4 linked regions of the Macaca mulatta genome follow. The protein of the gene in region 1 interacts with the protein of each later gene in a pairwise test. Links are inferred from orthologs where the notes say so. Each region holds a gene or a part of one and is shown on either strand. Other genes may lie near its edges. The genes, in order: AP2B1, NEU4, GTF2I and NUP54.

Region 1 (5,242 bases):
TGATGCTGTATTTTGAAAATAGCATTGGTTCATTTTTCCTTAAAATATATGCATTTTTCAGAGAAAGGATTGGAAAATAAAACAAATATAAAGAAGATAACATTTGTAATCAGCACCCAGAGAGAACCACTAATAGGTATATATACGCCTCTGGATTTAGAGTTTTGTATCTTTCTTTTATTCTTATCATTTCAAAGCATTTTTCTGTATCATATTTTTCAACAATATGATTTAAAAGGCACATCCCAATCATATAAATAAATACATGTTCATTGTATTTGAAAAGTACAGAAAAATATTAGGAAGAAAAGTAAAACTCTCACTATTCCGCAATAACCACTTTTAACATTGTGCTGAATATCCAAGCTTTTTTTTTTTTTTTTTTTTTTTTTTTGAGACGAGTCTGGTTTTGTTACCCAGGCTGGAGTGCAGTGGCGAGATCTTGGCTCACTGCAACCTCCACCTCCTGGGATCACGTCATTCTCCTGCTTCAGCCTCCTGAGTAGCCGGGATTATAGGCATGTGCCACCACACCAGCTAATTTTTGTTTTTTCAGTAGAGACGGGGTTTCACCACATTGGCCAGGCTGGTCTCAAACTCTTGACCTCAGGTGATCTGCCCACCTCAGTCTCCTAAAGGGCTGGGATTACAGGTGTGAGCCACCATGACTGGCCTATCCTAGCCTTTTTTTTCTATACATATATAGTCATACCATATACTATATTGTTTTGTATCCTATTTTTACTTAACACTTTATGAATTTTCTGTCATAAAATATTCTATAACATTATGCAGCTATCTGATTTACCATAAGTGTTTACATTATCTCTCTTTATACCTGGCTTTCCAATTTCCCCTATTCCTCTATTTTAATAACAGGAAATAATAATACATGAGTATGTTATACAAAATTTTAATGTACTTCTGATCACTTTTTTAAGAATGAAGTTTTAAAATACTTAAACACTTTCTGACTCACAGAGTTCATGGGCAAAATGTGAGAAAAATAAATAATCACTTTGCTCTCCATCCTTCCTTACACCCTGAAATTAACCTTAGGGACAGCTAGTTCATTTAACCTCATCAATCTTGTTCTCCAGTTCCAGGTCCTGGAATCTAGGTCTTAGTTTCCGAAAGAAACTTACTTTTGTGTAAGCACACCTATTATATACTAGGCACTTGACCTAATTTATCTGGTTTACGCTTCACATGCCCGAGAGAGATACTATCATTGTCTTCATTTCACAGATAAGAAGATTGAGGAGACATTAACTTTCCCAGTCACATTCAGGGTAGGGATTCAAACTCACATCCAATGCCTCCTCAACCTCTTTTACCTGCACCACTATCCTCTAGCCCCACTGCCCGTATATAGCCCTGGGTTATATCACCATTGTCCGCTCTTGAGCCTGGAAGGAAAATGAGCTGAGGGGTTTTGTTTTTTCACAAAGGAACAGGATATTTCATCATCTCTGTGTTTACGTTTTTCAGAGAATTTCTGTGCGAGGTAACAAATCCATTGTCAGCGTTTTAAATATATTCCTTTGGAGTAGCCACTTAACATCCTCTGAGGCCCAGATGGGCCAGCTTTGCTGGGACCATGGGAAATGTTTGGGGCTGGAAGGCGACAGAGATTACCGCCTTGCTAGGTCTCCCGCGCACCCCGATGACGTCACGCGGCGAGGTTCTCTGACGTCAGAGTTTCCTGCCCACCATCTTTGTCCCTGGCAAAGTGGGTTTTGCGCAGTGGCTTAGACCTAGAAAAGAATCGTGACGGGCAGGAAACCATTACACCACCACCCGGGCTGTGCTCTCCGGCTCCCGCCGCCACCCCCGCCCTCGACTTCGCCTCCGCCTCCGGTGAGTTCAGGGAGGCTGCCTTTGGGGTGTGTCCCTAATTGACGGGGTGGGGGACGAAAAGAAGGGGAACCCCAGGCTGGGTCGAGGACCGGCGGAAGCGAGGATATCCTAAGAGCGTGACCGTTGAGGATACAGGGAACCGTCGGGTGTGACCAGTGAGAGGAAAAAGGTTGGAGAAAGGGTCTCCACCATGATGACTGTGGTGCGGTGAGGGAATCCTCGGGTGTGGCAGCAAGTAGTTGGGGGCATGAGGGTAAGATGTACTTCGGAATTGGGGGTTTAGGAGGACCAGAGGCCAGGGGTGTGGCTGATAGAGCCTGGAGGCCGTGGGGGGAACCGTCTTTCTTCCCCGCTCGGCGTCGTTCACTAAGAGTCACTAAGAGTCTGAGACGTGTCCAGCAAAAGCGAAAGGGAAAAACCCGTTTGCTCATTGATGGGCGAACGTCGTCTGTCCAGTAACTTGAGGGTAAGAGACAACCTCTTCCCTGCTCCGTAATGGAGGAGCATATCGCTAGAATCTTGACCACTTGGGGAAAGAAGAGGCATTCCTGACTCTTGGAGGAAGAGTAACCTCCAGAATTGACCCGATGTAAGAGAGGGGGAAGCAAATGGGGGTAAATCTTAACCCACCTTTTTTTTTTTTTTTTCTTCTTTTTCTGGGCTCTGCGGGAATGGTCTGGCTTGGGAAAGGCTGTAGATTAAGCTGAAAGTAAAGAAACTGGAACTTACTGTTATTTCCTTATCATTTGAATCCAAATAATTTGTTCATGCTGCTTATTTTCAAGAGCAGTCTTCTGTTGGAGGGGTGGGGTGGGGGGACAGGCTTTCATTGAACTCACGCGGATGCTTCATTAAACGTTTGACTTTTATTTTATTTTATTTTTATATTTTCAGTGACAGGGTCTTACTGTGTTGCCCAGTCTAGTCTAGAACCCCTGGGCTCAAGCGATCCTCCCTATTCGGCCTCCCACAGTGCTGTGATTACAGGCGTGAGCCAGAGCGCCCAGCCAAACTTGACTTTTGAAAAGAAAAAATGTTTTGAAAACCGCCAAAGACTTATCGTAACCATTGTGGTTTAAAAGAAAATGCATTAAACTTACAAAGGCAGAATGACTAAGAAAGAAGGTGGTCTCAATGAGAATCAATTTAAATTATTAATTACCTTCCTTGTATACTTGAATTGCTTAGCCTCAGGGTACACTTACAAAGTAATAATAGAAAGTAGCAGATGAAGGAGGTGCAGCTCTATAAGAAAACGTGTAACACATTCCAGTGATGACTAAGCGTGCTGGTAAGGTGAGAACTGTTTGCAGGTATCTTAACCGTTGAAACTTTCAAGGAAGCAGAAAGGGTGATGTATAATGCAAGCATCCTCACTAAAAGCTGGGTGGTAAAATCAATATAAATCTAATATTCTGACTGTATATGAAGAAACTCAAGTCCAGTTCTTTCATTCTTTCCGTCCTTAAAAGATCCATATTTTGAAGTACTAACTTTTTAGGCACAGGTTTGAACCAAGCTGAGCAAGGAATATATTAAATAGGGCACCTTCTCCTTTCTCTTGTCCTTTCTTTCCTTCCAGGCTTAAGTTTTCCAGAGTTTAATGTTATTTTGGTTAAGAATTAGATGTAAAACTTTTGAACTCCTTTGCTTCTATATAATATTAAGAAGCTACTTTGTAGTCTAAGTAGAAATCACAGGTGATTTTAGCTTTTGTGTCGTAATTTCTTATGAGAAAAATAATACCTGATGATGCTATTGTCTTTGCATTATTACTGAATATTTGATTAGAAATGAATTTGGCACCTCTCACCCTTACAATAAAAGATTACTGGAATGACATTTCTGCTTTATAATTTGGTTAACTTTGTTCTGTTTTTTACTGTGAGCACTGAGCTTTGTAAAATCCAACTTTGTGAAAAGAAGGGTTTAGGGACTTTACGAACTAATTTGGCTTCCCAGAGAGCCATTTGAATTAAGATCCTATTAATTTTTTTTGACCTTATTCTACCCAAGGTATTAATCTTATTTTGCTGCTCAATTTCTCTTTTAGGGAACTGGAGGGAGGTATAGGAGAGGAGGGACTTTGACAACCTATATTTCATAGAAACTAGGTTATGTTAAATCTGGATATGTAATCCTGTGCAGGGAGGCCTACTCCGAAATGCAGTGACATCACACTCTGGTCAGGGCAAGTAAGAGTGATTATGTGCTTTGACTCTGGCAGCTTTGTTGTTTAACAATGGCCTTAGGCCATATCATAAATCCTCAGAACAGCCGTGACTTGTCTGGTTTGATCTGGTAGAAAGGTAGTGTTAGTTCAAATTCCGTCATGGCTTTGCTTATTTCTCTGGCTCTTCTGAAGGAACATTTTCTCCCCCAAAGGAGCAGCTTGATTTTTGAGGCACTTCAGCAAATATTTGAGTTTTTTTGTTTTTTTTTTTCTTGAGCTCTATTTTGTTTACTTTTTCTGTTACTTCTAATGAAGATGTCAGTTTTTGCCATCCTGTATTTTGGAGACTCTGGCTATGTCCATATCTAGCATGTGATTAAATGTGTCTCTCATTATATGAGGTAAGAACTCACTATATGAGAGATACACTTAATCATATATATGTGATTATTTTTTTGAGGTGAAATTCACGTACCATAAAATGAACCAGCTTAAGGCATACAGTTCAGTGGAATTTAGTACACTGACAGTGTTGTGCAACAATCACGTCTTCTATTTGTTTTTATTTAGACGATTTTCATTTTTCTTGGAGTTTCTTTTGGCTTAAGGCAACAACCAGCTTGGCACCATGTTTCTCTGCCAATATGGATAGGGAATATTGTTTACAATAGTGTTGCTTACTACAGTGATATCCCTTCTCTTTAGAGCAGCAGGGACTCTTAATTTAGAATCTATGTTATGGGCTTCTAAAGATACTTGACCCTCCTCTCTTCCCTGAAATTTTGTGGGTGGGTGCATTATTTTCTAGTTAAGATGAAAACACTTAATGCTCACAGTGAACAGGACAGTAATATATTCCTTGACATTGAAATTGTTACAGATAATGAAATATGTGAGCTGTTAAAGGCATGACTTAAGACTTAGGTTAATTTATTGTTTAATAGAATGTAGTGAAAATTCCTGTAAAGAATTTACTCATGCCTGTAATCCGAGCACTTTGGGAGGCCGAGGTTGATGGATCACTTGATGTCAGGAGTTCCAGACGAGCCTGGCTAACAAGGAAAACCCCCTCTCTACTAAAATACAAAAATTAGCCGGGCATGGTAGTGGGTGCCTGTAGTCCCCGCTACTCTGAAGGCTGAGGCAGAAGAAATCGCTTGAACCTGGGAGGCAGAGGTTGCAGTGAGCCCAGATCGAACCACTTCACTG
Region 2 (4,103 bases), on another chromosome or scaffold:
CCATCCTGCCCCTGCCTGGAACCCAGTGGTAGCCCCTCTCAGGCAGGAGCCCTCCCAGCAGAGTAGTTGCTGGGGAAAAGGGGGCCGCAAGGGGAGGTCATCTCTGCTCCCCTGGGGACCTTCGGCGACTCAGAGACCACCCGGATGCCCCTCACTGCTGGGGGCTGGCCGTGGGTCCCCGCCCTTGGGAATGGTCACCGAAGCCAGCCCAAAGGGTGACCAGACCCAGAGACACGCAAAGAAGCCCATCACACACAATTCAGGGCCAGGAAGAAGGTGGCACACGTGTGCACCCCCCGGCCGGGCCGTCGTCCACGGGTGTGGCAGCAGGCTGGGCAGGAGCACTTGAAGCCAGAAGGAAGGGCCCGTGGAGAGAGGGGCCCAGGGCTCACTTCTATTTTTTCTTTATATTTTCTTTATAGCTTTCTACATTTTCCAGATTTTCTTTTTTTCTTTCTTTCTTTCTTTTTTTTTTTTTTTTTTTTTTTGAGTCTCACTCTGTCGCCCAGGCTGGAGTGCAGTGGCACAATCTTGGCTCACTGCAACCTCCGCCTCCTAGGTTAAAGTGATTCTCCTGCCTCAGCCTCCCAAGTAGCTGAGATTACAGGTGCCCACCACGATGCCCAGCTAATTTTTGTATTTTTAGTAGAGACGAGATTTCACCACGTTGGCCAAGCTGGTCTCGAATTCCTGACCTCAGGTGATCCACCTGCCTCGACCTCCCAAAGTGCTGGGATTATAGGCGTGAGCCACTGTGCCCGGCTCATTTTCCAGATTTTCTACAGTAAGCACATATTGCTTTTGTCATCAGAAATTAAGACTTTAAAAGGAGAATAAATAAAAAGGAACTTCCCTGGGGAAACAGCCCCAGTGGTGCCCAAGCCCTCTGCAGGGTGGGGTCAGGGGAGCGGGACACAGGGCTGGTCCTGGAAGGTGACCCCCTCCTGGTGTCCAGCTCTGCGGGGAGAGGCCCTACCTCCTACTCCTCTGGTAGGAAGTTCAGAGAGTGCGGCAGACCACTTGCAAATCACCGCACAGGAGGCCAAGGGTGGAAGCCGCTTCCTCCCTCCTGCCCTCCCTCTGCTGGCCCCGGGATGTTTAGAAGCAGAGCTTTGCCAAGGCAATGAGATTTTGGGATGAGGGTCAGAGAAGCGGGTTAGAGCAGAGCTCCCTTCCCCAGGGCTGGAACCTGAAAAGGAAAGAAACGTCTACCCCGACACAAGCACGATTCCTTTATTTCGAGCCAGAAAGCAGCCAGCAAGCAAGTGCTGCCACCCACAACACCCTGGGCTACCTGCAGTCCTGCGCCTGACCCTGCAGCCTCGGGAGGGAGCTGTGGGGGGTCGCCCAGGGCCCACTTCCTGCCCCTACCCTGCCCTGCTCACTCCCAGCCGCTGTTCCCCTTCTCGAAGAGCAACCCCTGCTTGAGAACTCTGAGGAGAAACTTGCTTCTAATCCACAGGATTCTGCACTAAGAGCCCCCCCACATCCATCCTGGGGCACCCCAGCATATTCCACCCCTCTGCCCCAGGCACCCAAGGGGCATGGGCACGGCCAGAAGGCCTGTCAGGAGGGCCAGCAGCACCCCCGAGGCTTGTCCCCAAGGTTGGGCGGCTCGGGGCTGGTGGGCACGTTCTCCAGGACCTCACGTAGGGAGAATGTGCAAAAGGAAATCTCATCATAGGAGGTCCTGGCCCCACTCTCGTACAGGCAGGCAAAAACCAGGCCCCCCTCAGGGGCCGGCCCGACGGACGCCAGGTCGGAGTAGCCGCTGGGGCCCTCGTAGATCACCCAGGGCTCTGTCCAGCTGTGCGGGTCCAGCGGGGCCTGGCTCAGCCGGATACCCATGTGCAGCCGAGCCCTGCGCCCCACTGGGTGGGAGTACAGCAGCCACGTGGGGCTCTGGGGTGGGGCAGCAAAGGGCATGGGGAGCGCTAGGGTCCAGGACCCCACATCCCCACTGACCCCAGGCCTGGGGCCAGGCTGCCTGGGGCCATCCCCCTGAGGCTGCAGATGGCTGCAGGGCCCACCAGGCACCTGGGCTCCATGGGGGTCTCCGGCAGCCTCCTCTGGGGGTTCATGGACTCCAGGACCAAGGCGTGGAGGGTGAAGGGGACTCCCGGGGCCCACTGACCAACCGTCATCCCGTGGCCTGCTGGGGGCGGGGGCTGGGAAGCCCACGATGCTGCCCTGGCAGCCCCAGGCGGTCTCAGGCAGGGAAGCCACACGCTCTGCGGGCAGGAAGGAGGTGCCCTCGTCAGTGCTGAGTGCCTGCACGCGGCTGCCCAGGGTGCTCCGGGCATTGCAGTAGAGGAAGCTGCCGGCCTGTCCACCATCCACTGCCGCCAGCTGGCACTCGCCCGAGCGCAGGTTGGGCACGAGGCCTCCACAGCGCCAGGTGCGGCCGTGGTCATCGCTGTAGAAGGCGAAGGAGTGGGGGCTGGTCCGGCAGATCTTGCCAAAACACTCTCGGCGGTCCACGCGGTAGGTGTAGGCGGGCACCAGCAGGCGGCCTGAGGGCAGCTGCACGCCGTGGCCGGGACCCACGGCGAACGTGGCCCAGTCTGTGGGGAGGAGGGCGGAGGTGGGAGGGGCTGCTGAGTCCCCGAGGTTGGGGGGGGCGGATGGAGGAAGGCACAGGGGTCGGGGAAGGCACAGGGGTCGGGGAAGGAGGGGCTGGTGCCTCGGGTTAGGACCATCACACTCTGACCACCCTTCCACACAACTCATTGCAGCCGCCCTGAGTCCTCCCAGGCTGACAAGCCTCTCCCAGCCCTTAGCCCCCGCGCCCAGGTGGACAGCACCCAGGGAGGCTGGCGAGCACTGCCCATACAGATACAGCGGAGGGCGGGCAGGGGGAGTGAGGCCCTGCGGTGGGGTCCTGGGCTCCGCCATGTATCTGCTCCACTCCCTGCTGTGGCTCCCACAGGCCAGGGTCAGGTGGCCACAGAGGACGGGGTGGAGGGAAAGCTGTGGCGAGGCCTGGCCAGGCCCTAGGCGGGGTGAGAAGGGAGTAAAGAATAAGAGGAAGGGGTGGGGCAGGGTGGCTGTTGGTTTGGGAGCTGAGAGACACCTCAGCATTCAGCCTTCTCCTCTGCAGATAAAGGGATGACCTGGGGGGATGAGAGTCTGATCAGCCATAGAGGGCCTGCTCCTGCCCACCGGATGGACTGGGTGGCGACCAGTACCCATTTGCCTGGGACGGGAGGCCCAGGACAGTCCTGGGGAGAGGGCTGGTTGGTTCCCTTATGGCTGGAGGCAGGGGCGGGGGTGGGGCAGAATGGACATTTCCAGCTGGAATCTCCCTTCCATGTGGACCGTGGCCAATCCGAGGGACCCAGACTGGCACCCTGCCCGCCTACCCTGCACGGCACCACCAATGGCCTCCTCGGTGAGGTCCCGGGCGCTGCCCCACGAGAGGCCGGCGTCACGGCTGGCCACGTAGCAGAGGCGTGCGGCGTTCCTTCCCGTGGCGATCTGCACGGCCTCGGGCGTGTGGCCCAGCACCGCGATGAAGAAGAGGAAGACGGTGCCTGTGCCAGTGTCGTGCACGGGGCAGGGGTTCATGGACCGGTGCTCTGCCAGGGCTGCTGTCCCCAGCACCTGCAGGGCGCCCCACTGCCCAGAGGAGGAAGTGCCACTGACTAGGATGTCCAGGGACCTGGGCACAGCCCCCCGTGGGGCACCCGAGACAGCTGAGCCTGGTTTGCTCATCTCTATCTCGGGCACCCGCCTGCCACCGCCACCCCCGCCCCTGTCCCTGGGTGTGCAGCCCCAGTGGGCCCGGCCACTCACCCGCACGGAGCCCCCGGCCCGCGTGCCCCTCCTCAGCACCAGGCGGTGGGCATGGGAGTCATCGGGGCTGAGCCGCTGCTCCACAAAGGCCAGCAGGGTGGGCCCGGGGGGCACAGGGAGCAGCGAGGGCACGCGGTAGGTCAGGCCGGTCCTCTCCCGCTCAAAGAGCACTGTCCGTGAAGGGGTATGAGGGGCCCCCATGCTCTGCTGGTCAGTACAGGGCCACAGGTCAGCAAGGCAGGCCCAGGGAGTGGGGAAGGGGCTCAGGAGGTGCAGACAGCTCCTGCCCACACCTAGGGCTCTTCCTG
Region 3 (5,170 bases), on another chromosome or scaffold:
ATCATGCCATTGCACTCCAGCTTGGGCAACAGAGTGAGACTTCGTCTCAAAATAAATAAATAAATAAATACACATGTACATAAATAAATAAACAATTCACCCATCCTTTACTTTTCATTGTAAATGCTACCTTCTTTCTTTCTTCTTTTTCTTTCTTTCTTTCTTTTCTTTTCTTTTTTTTTTGAGATGGACTCTTGCTCTATTGCCCAGGTTGGAGTGCAGTGGCACTATCTCGGCTCACTGCAAGCTCCGCCTCACGGTTACACGCCGTTCTCCTGCCTCAGCCTCCTGAGTAGCTGGGAATACAGGTGCCCGCCACCATACCTGGCTGATTTTTTGTATTTTTAGTAGAGACAGGGTTTCACCATGTTAGCCAGGATGGTCTTGATCTGCTGACCTTATGATCCGCCCATCTCGTCCTCCCAAAGCGCTGGGATTACAGGCGTGAGCCACTGTGCCCAGCTGCAAATGCTACTTTCTCCATGAAAAATTGTCTGCTTTGTGTGTAGCTTTCTTGTGCCATCTTGACACATTTACCTGAGTGCATATTGTATTTGATTCATTTGTCATATCTGCTTGAATCAGATGGTTATTACTGGTGAATGGACAACAGTAGTTAAGAATTCAGGCTTTGGATCCGAGCAGGTTTAGACCAAAATCTGATTGTGCCATCTGTGTATCCCAGGCTGAGTACTGAGCCTTTCTGAGCCTCTTTAGCATGGGAGTGGAGGGGCATTCGGTGCACTTGCCACAGAGGCAGCAAGCAATGAGATAATCTATTAAGTGTCGAGCCTGGTGCGTGGCTCTGAAGGACTGCTCAATACATGTGAGCCATGATCACACATTTCTGGAGGGCACAGATGGTCTTGCAGGCTTTCCAGAATATAGTAGGTGTTCAGATTCTTTCCTGATACTCATTGGTGCCCCTCACTTCCTTCCATTATCCGGGTCAGACTGAGTTCATCTGGGATTGGAAAACACAGCAGGCTGGTATGAATGAAGTCAGCCTACAGCCCCAGGTACAAGCCAGAGCTTGGTCAGCCCCCTCCCTAGGTTTAGGGGGAAGGGAATGGATAATTAACACCTTCTCACTGCTGGGAAAACAATGAAAAGTACTTGTTACACTGATAATGGGTTAATTTCTTTTTCTCTTTTCTTTTTTTCAGACAGTTTCACTCTGTTGCCCAGGCTGGAGTGCAGTGGCATGATCTCAGCTCACTGCAACCTCCACCTCCCGGGTTTAGGCGATTCTCCTGCCTCAGCCTCCCAAGTAACTGGGATTACAGGCACCTGCCACCATGCCCGGCTAATTATTGTATTTCTAGTAAAGACGGGGTTTCACCATGTTGGCCAGGCTGGTCTTGAACTCCTGACCTCAGATGATCCAGCCGCCTTGGCCTCCCAAAGCGCTGGGATTACAGGTGCGAACCACCGCGCCCAGCCAGATGGTGGGTTAATTTCACTTTGAACAGCATCGTTCTGATTGGCTTTCCCTCCCCCTTCCAACCCATTGTTCAAAAATTCCCTTTATTCTTTGATGAAAACTTCCCCAAGTGGGTCATCTACCTTAAGTATACTAAACACCAGGTCTTGAAGGGGTTAAAAAAGGCTGCTATGATTCACCAGAAAAAGAGGAAAGGCTTGGTAAACGCAATGCTAAAGAATCAAGAAACTGGTGGTTAAGTCCACGGTGGAAACAAAAAGAGAAAAGGAAGGATGCAGGTATTTGTTGTCAGCATTTAACCTAGATTTTTCATCTCTTGATTTTATGATTATGTTGCAAGGCTATAGGTTGTCTCTATTATATATATCTATAGATATAGTCATATGGAATTGTTCTAACATCTATAACAATATACTGTAATAAAAGTTATGTGACTATGGTCTGTCTCCGTCTCTCTCTCAAAAATATCTTCTTGTACTGAACATAGCTATTTTTGGACCGCGGTTGACCGTGGGTAACTGAAACTGCAGAAAGCGAAACTGCAGATAAGAGGGGGAACTACGGTAGACGCCTCCCACCCGTTAGTCACTTGGGAGCCGTCTGGGTTATCAGATCGACTGTCTGCAAGTATTGCAGTGTTTGTGTTCAAGTCACCCTTTTCTTTTTTTTTTTTTTGAGACGGAGTCTCGCTCTGTCACCCAGGCTGGAGTGCGGTGGCCGGATCTCAGCTCACTGCAAGCTCCGCCTCCCGGGTTCACGCCATTCTCCTGCCTCAGCCTCCCGAGTAGCTGGGACTATAGGCGCCCGCCACCTCGCCCGGCTAGTTTTTTGTATTTTTCAGTAGAGACGGGGTTTCACCGTGTTAGCCAGGATGGTCTCGATCTCCTGACCTCGTGATCCGCCCGTCTCGGCCTCCCAAAGTGCTGGGATTACAGGCGTGAGCCACCACGCCCGGCCAAGTCACCCTTATTTTCTATCATAATGGCCCCAAAGCACAAGAGTAGTGATGCTGGGAATTTGGACAGGCCAAAGAGAAGCCGTAAAGTGCTCCCTCTAAGTGAAAAGGTGAAAGTTCTCGACTTAATCAGGAAAGAAAAAAAATCCTATGCTGAGGTTGCTAAGATCTACGGGAAGAATGAATCTTCCATCCGTGAAATTGTGAAGAAGGAAAAAGAAATTCGTGCTAGTTTTGCTGTCTCACCTCCAACTGCTAAAGTGACGGCCACGGTGCGTGATAAGTGCTTAGTTAAGATGGAACAGGCACTGCATTTGTGGGTGGAAGAGATGAACAGAAAACGTGTTCCCATTGACAGCAACGTGTTGTGCCAGAAAGCCTTGAGCCTATACCAAGACTTCAGCAAGGGATGCTCTGAAACTGACACCAAGCCATTTACTGCGAGTAAGGGATGGTTACACAGATTCAGGCATAGATTCTCACATCATTACAAGAAGAAGAAGAAGGGTGAGTACAGTACAAGTTATTTTGAGAGAGAGAGAGAGAGATCACATTCACCTCAGTACTTGCTATACTTGTTCCATTTTGTTATCATTGCTGTTAACTTCTTCCTGTGCCTAGTTGGATTTGGTATTATCCAAGGTTTCAGGCATCCACTGGCAGTCTCGGAATGTGTCCCCCACAGAAACAGGGGACTACTGTATTCACTCTCTCTCTCTCTTTTTAAATTTTTATTGTAGGTTCATGGGTACATATGCAGGTTTATTATACAGGTAAACTCGTGTCACCGGGGTTTGTTGTACAGATTATTTTGCCACCCGCGTACTAAGCCTATCCAATAGTTATTTTTTTTCTGCTCCTCATCCTTCTCCCACTGAGGCGGGCGGATCACCTGAGGTTGGGAGTTCGAGATCAGCCTGACCAACATGGAGAAACCCCGTCTCTACTAAAAATACAAAATTAGCCAGGCATGGTGGCGCATGGCTGTAATCCCAGCTACTCGGGAGGCTGAGGCAGGAGAATTGCTTGAACCCAGGAGGCAAAGGTTGCAGTAAGCCGAGATCGCGCCATTGCACTCCAGCCTGGGCAACAAGAGCGAAACTCTGTCTCAAAAAAAAAAAGAAAAGAAAAGAAAAGAAAAGAAACATGGAACATGGACTTTTTTCATATTTTTAAAAAGTTTTGAATGCTAAATAATACCATCTAATATTTATATAACACGTACCCAAGTTCATAAAGTATTTTCATCTACGTATCATCTGATTTCCCCAAATCCCTGAAGGAGGCAGAGAAAATACTATAGAGGTTTTATTTTTAACAACTTAAATTTAGAGCTTTATATTTAAAAACTTAAATTTAAAAACTTTAAAAAACGACAATGTTAACATAATCCTAAATAGCAGATAAAATTCATCTAAATCCTGCTACCCCAACAAAGAAAACTGTTTATTTCAACTGGTGCAACATGAATATTCGTTTTACTGTGTCGGCCAGATGCTCACACAAAAGGCAGAGCTAGAGCTGGAAGGTCTATTTAGATCACATCTACATTATTAATTGTTATGAATAAATTATAACTTGGATTTAGGTTTTTTTTTTTCCACCTTTGGATGAATTCTAAGAACCATACATACTGGAAAAGATAGTCATTCATTCAGGATTCAAATTATTCAAACAAAAAACCGTTCAAAAACAGTGTTTTATAATCAGTATTAAAAAATATCATTGTGGTTGGATATGCTGGCTCATGCCTGTAATCCCAGCACTTTGGGAGGCCGAGGCGGGCAGATTATGAGGTCAGGAGTTCAAGACCAGCTTGACCAACATGGTGAAACCCTGTCTCTACTAAAAATACAAAAATTAGCTGAGTCTGGTGGCACACGCCTATAATCCTAGCTACTCGGAAGACTGAGACAGGAGAATCACTTGAACCCGGGAGCCAAGATTGCGCCATTGCACTCCAGCCTGGGCAACAGAGTGAGACTCAGTCTCAAAAAAAAAAGTATCATTGTAAGAACAAAGGAGTTATCTGCTAGAGTGTAGATACACATGTGACAGCCAAAGAGGTCTTGTGACCCTACTGAAGTGATCCGGGCAGGATTGTGCAAATCATAAATTGGAACAATGTCTACAGGATCAAAGTATTATCTTACAAATGATATTTTACATTCTGTTCTCAATATAAAGAATGTATAGTGTACTATGTACATTGTAAAGAAAAACCAAGAAATTGGACTTAGAAGATATTGGGCCTGTATCAATCAGAGTTCAACGAAAAAGACCTCTGGTATTCATCAAAAGTCATGCTCTGCTGTGGAATACAGATCTGTCAAGAGTATCTGGGCCAGGCCTGGTGGCTCACACCTGTAATCCCAGCACTTTGGGAGGCTGAGGTAGGCGGATCTCTTGAGCCCAGGAGTCCAAGACCAGCCTGGGCAACACGGTGAAACCCTGTCTCTACTAAAAATACAAAAAATTAGCTGAGTGTGGTGGTGTGCACCTGTAGTCCCAGCCATTTGGGAGGCTGAAGTGGGAGGACTGTTTGAGCCTGGGAGTTTGAGGCTGCAGTGAACCGAGATCTCGCCACTCTACGCCAGCCTGGACAACTGGAGTGAGAGATCCTGTCTCAAAACAAAAAGCAGAAAACAGAAAAACAGAGTATCTGAACTTTCACCAGAATTATGGTTTTGGGCAATCTGAAATATATGACTGAGGGCTGGGCACAGTGGCTGAAATGCAGTGGCAGCACTTTGGGAGTCCGAGGTGGATGG
Region 4 (3,941 bases), on another chromosome or scaffold:
GAGTCAATCAAGGAATAGAGAAACAAAATGTAGTATATATACACACAGTGGAATATTATTCAGCCTTGAAAAAAGAAGGAAATTCTGACACACGCTACAGTGCAATTTGACCTTGAAGAAGTTGTGTTTCATGAAATAAGCCACTCGTAAAAGGGCAAATATTTATGATTTCACTTGTGAAAAGTACCTAGTAGTTCAATTAATAGAGAGTAGAAAGGTGGTTGCCAGGGTGTGAGGGGAGGAGGGGATGGGAGGAACTTAATTGGTACAGAATTTCAACTTGAGATGATGAAAAGTTCTGAACAAAATGGATAGTGTTGATTATTGCACAACAGCATAAGTATACTTAATGCCACTGAACTGTATACTTAAAAATAGTTACAGGCAAAATTTTATGGTGAGCCTGTTTTGCCACAATTTTAAAAAGGTGAAGTATCCCTCTCCTCACCAAAAAGATGAATTTAAGAGGTAATAGAGACACTACAGTTTACTAGACCTTGCTCCTTAAAGTGTAGGCAGTAACCGCACCTGGAAGGTCATTAAAAATGCAAAATTTCAGTCCTTACTCCAGATGTATTCGATCTGCATTTTATCAAGATCATAGAATGATTTGTATGCACTTTAAAGTTTGAGAAGCAACTGCTTTAGATAATACCTTCCCTGCCTATATGTCACACGTAAGTTATAAACATGTTGTTATTGATCTATCCCCTAAGCCCTCAGGAGATCTGGATGGAGGTAGGTTGAGGTGGCCAGAACCTCCAGCCACTCTTCTCGGGTTTTCACCTTGTGTGAAAAAGTTGGGAAACACTGCTTTGGCTTATTTTCATTAGTATAAATGCAGATTGGTTTAATGAAAATGAACAGTTGTATCTAAAGAAAATATATGAAGATGATGAACTTTGTGGAGCATACTAGGTAGCTAATGACTGTTGGCATGGCCCTGAGGATTTTAGATTAAGGTTATAAATGTCATCAACAAATCCAATTTTATTATATGCTTTAGAATGGATATGGCTGGTTTTATGTAACCAAAAACTAGTTTGGCTTCTAGATTCTTGGACATTACACAACCAATTATATTCCATTGTTTTAAGTATTTGCAATAAATTAACAGATTCCAGTATATTGTAATAGTTGTAGGTTGATATATGCAATAAAACTGAATAATTTAAACACTTGTCTTTTTTAAAATGATGAGCAGTGTATTGTTCAGGGATTGAATCATGGTTCACCATCTACTTTATGACCTTGGGTAGGTTATTTACCTGTAGTTTCTTTAACTGTGGATATGATAATGGTACCCCAAAGGGTGCTCAAAAGGATTTTAAATGAGTTGAACAAGTGAATACCAGTACTCACTATTAAAACAGCACCTTAACCCATAAGGAGGAGTCTTTAAAAAATGTTAGCATCTGTAGTCATCATCACCATTATCGCTATATACTTTGTACTTCAAAACATGAATATTCTCAGTTTTCAGAATGTTATTTTGTTAGTCATCTATATTTGAATACCTCCTTTGAGTTCTGTTTTATTATGCCTTTATTAAAAGTTGGTAAAAGGAAATAGCTATCTAAAAAACATTTTTGTTGGAAGATACTGTTCATTTTATATTTGTTTGATTTTATTGTTCTTTAGAGTTTGTCTTTCACTGTTAGCAAAAGATGTAGTACAAATGTTTAAATATGCATGCCCTCTATATTTAAAGCACTTACTAGGTACTGTGTTATTAGTAAAACAGTCAAAGTGGAGTCCTTTTTCCTGTGACTAGCTTGCAGTTTTAATAAATTAATACATTAATATGTTGTTTCTTAATTTGTTCTAGCATTTGAAACAACAACAGGAAGGCCTTAGCCATTTGATTAGCATCATTAAAGATGATCTAGAAGATATAAAGCTGGTCGAACATGGATTGAATGAAACCATCCACATCAGAGGTGGTGTCTTTAGTTGACAGTTCACAAACTTGTGTAAAGGTTTGTGAAATTCATCTTCTTACTGCATCAGCCCTTCCTTAAGAATGAAACCGACCACGTGGAGGGAAAAAGAAAACAATTCTCTCTTGGCTTGGTTTTTTGAGAAGTTTACTGACAAATTACTGTCCATCAAATCTGAAATACAGTCACCTCACAGCTCTTCAAAGAAAACCTTTGAAAGATTTATATCTAAAAGCTGTATTTACTTTAAAAGGAGAAGTGCATAATTACCAAAATTATATGTACTATTGTACATTTTTACAACAGCATTTTCTTGAACATCATCTGTTTAATGATTATTGTCCACTGAGCCTGTGCTCTGCTTTCCATACCAAGTAAATATGAAATAATCTTTGCACATAACAGAAGAAACTATAATTACTTGGCTGTTGGAGATTTGTACTTCAGAGTATAAATGTACACCAGTTTTTCTATTTGTGAACTCATCTGTGGGAGGAGTAAAGAAAATCCAAAAGCATTTAATGTTTTTTTTTTGTTCTATAAAGATTTGAAAATGTATTTTTATATTATTTTACTTATTTGGAATTTACAGAGCACACCTAAGCAATTAGGATATAACAAAATTAACCATTTTTGCAACCATTTTGTTTTTTAAGCCTTTTTATTTCTAAAAAGATGAAAACTTATAAATAAATTCTTAATTTGTAATTTTATAAAATTTTGTCTGGTGCTTTATTTGGCTTTTGAGGAATGACCATTTTTTGTCCACATAGGTACTAAATTAATAATCACAATTCAGGAATTTTAGTCTTAAGTCTGATTTTTCCCTCCTAGGGATTTTTGTCAGTGCTGATATAATCAGCACAATTTGATTAGGGTATGGCAAATAAAACTTACTTCAGATATCATCTAGTATTAAGAATTCCCTAATACGTCATTAATATTTGAAATACTAGAAAATCTGAGTTAAACAGATTAAATAGTGTTAAATAGTGGGTCTTTAACCAGTGGGTCATTTTAAACAGTATTTCTGACTACACACTGTATGTTTGGGCTGCATCATGTTTGCCGCTCTTGAGATGCTTTAACTTTGCACTTCTCTGTGATGCTTTGGTTTATATTGACAGGTGTTACAAGTAACAGCCCCATGAATCTTGGTATTGTATTTACTATGGGGATGGTGAACAGTGTGATGCACTGTATATCTGGAGTCCATCCTCTGAGAACCCACTGAAGAGATTTATGCTCAGTTGTATAGGTTACAGTTGTGTAGACTAGGATATTTTGTGGTTTTTGTTTGTTTGTTTGTTTGACAAGTCTCTCTGTCACCCAGGCTGGCGTACAGTGGCATAATCATGACTCACTGCAGCCTTGACCTCCTGGGCTTAAGCAGTTCTCCCACCTCAGACTCGAGTAACTGGGACTACAGGCATGCACCACCACAATGGGCTAATATTTTTTATTTTGTGTAGAGATGGGGTCTTGCTATGTTGCCCAGGCTGGTCTTGAACTCCTAGACTCCAGCAATCCTCCTGCCTTGGCTTGCCAGAGTGCTAGGATTACAGGCCTGAACCTCTATGCCTGGCCAAGACTAGGAACTTTAAAACTGATTGTTTCTTTCCAAATTGACTGCCAGAAGTATGCAGCTGCTTTTGCCAAGTTTATGGCATGTAAATTTGTTACACTACTACCCTCTCATCATTCTTTCCTATCCATTATACTGCAATACCAACGGTGTTGGGACAGGAATTTCTCTCCTTTTCCACATTTTCTCCATGGCCCAGAAGATCTGCATGTTCATCATTCTTACCCATGTAGCCAAGTATAGGAGTTTCTGTCCCTCTACACACCCCCTTATCGTAGGAAGAGTTGTTGGTCTAATTGATGAGAATTGTTACTCACTGAGCTATATAATCTAGCGGATGGATCACTCATGCATACCATGCTCGCTTCTCTAGCCTCTGATTTTTCATGTTCTAATATTGCTGGTTGCTAGTTCAA

Evidence for each region.
Region 2: the proteins of AP2B1 (region 1) and NEU4 interact in binary tests that used the Homo sapiens proteins (3 or more experiments, as listed by UniProt). The two-hybrid records come from large-scale screens. The link is inferred for Macaca mulatta from reciprocal best matches to the Homo sapiens genes AP2B1 and NEU4.
Region 3: the proteins of AP2B1 (region 1) and GTF2I interact in binary tests that used the Homo sapiens proteins (3 or more experiments, as listed by UniProt). The link is inferred for Macaca mulatta from reciprocal best matches to the Homo sapiens genes AP2B1 and GTF2I.
Region 4: the proteins of AP2B1 (region 1) and NUP54 interact in binary tests that used the Homo sapiens proteins (3 or more experiments, as listed by UniProt). The two-hybrid records come from large-scale screens. The link is inferred for Macaca mulatta from reciprocal best matches to the Homo sapiens genes AP2B1 and NUP54.

The regions. Positions count from the first base shown.
Region 1 is NC_133421.1:45,057,640-45,062,881, forward strand, and holds the start of AP2B1 (AP-2 complex subunit beta), read left to right. Parts: upstream 1-1,753; 5' UTR 1,754-2,113; intron 2,114-5,242. UniProt on the Homo sapiens protein: Component of the adaptor protein complex 2 (AP-2). Adaptor protein complexes function in protein transport via transport vesicles in different membrane traffic pathways.
Region 2 is NC_133417.1:147,099,743-147,103,845, reverse strand, and holds the end of NEU4 (sialidase-4), read right to left. Parts: intron 4,003-4,103; coding exon 3,796-4,002; intron 3,619-3,795; coding exon 3,363-3,618; intron 2,565-3,362; coding exon 1,567-2,564; 3' UTR 1,218-1,566; downstream 1-1,217. UniProt on the Homo sapiens protein: Exo-alpha-sialidase that catalyzes the hydrolytic cleavage of the terminal sialic acid (N-acetylneuraminic acid, Neu5Ac) of a glycan moiety in the catabolism of glycolipids, glycoproteins and oligosacharides.
Region 3 is NC_133408.1:52,147,690-52,152,859, forward strand, and holds the start of GTF2I (general transcription factor II-I), read left to right. Parts: upstream 1-1,995; 5' UTR 1,996-2,425; coding exon 2,426-2,906; intron 2,907-4,996; exon of another isoform or gene 4,997-5,053; intron 5,054-5,170. UniProt on the Homo sapiens protein: Interacts with the basal transcription machinery by coordinating the formation of a multiprotein complex at the C-FOS promoter, and linking specific signal responsive activator complexes.
Region 4 is NC_133410.1:57,699,122-57,703,062, forward strand, and holds the end of NUP54 (nucleoporin p54), read left to right. Parts: intron 1-1,828; coding exon 1,829-1,957; 3' UTR 1,958-2,658; downstream 2,659-3,941. UniProt on the Homo sapiens protein: Component of the nuclear pore complex, a complex required for the trafficking across the nuclear membrane.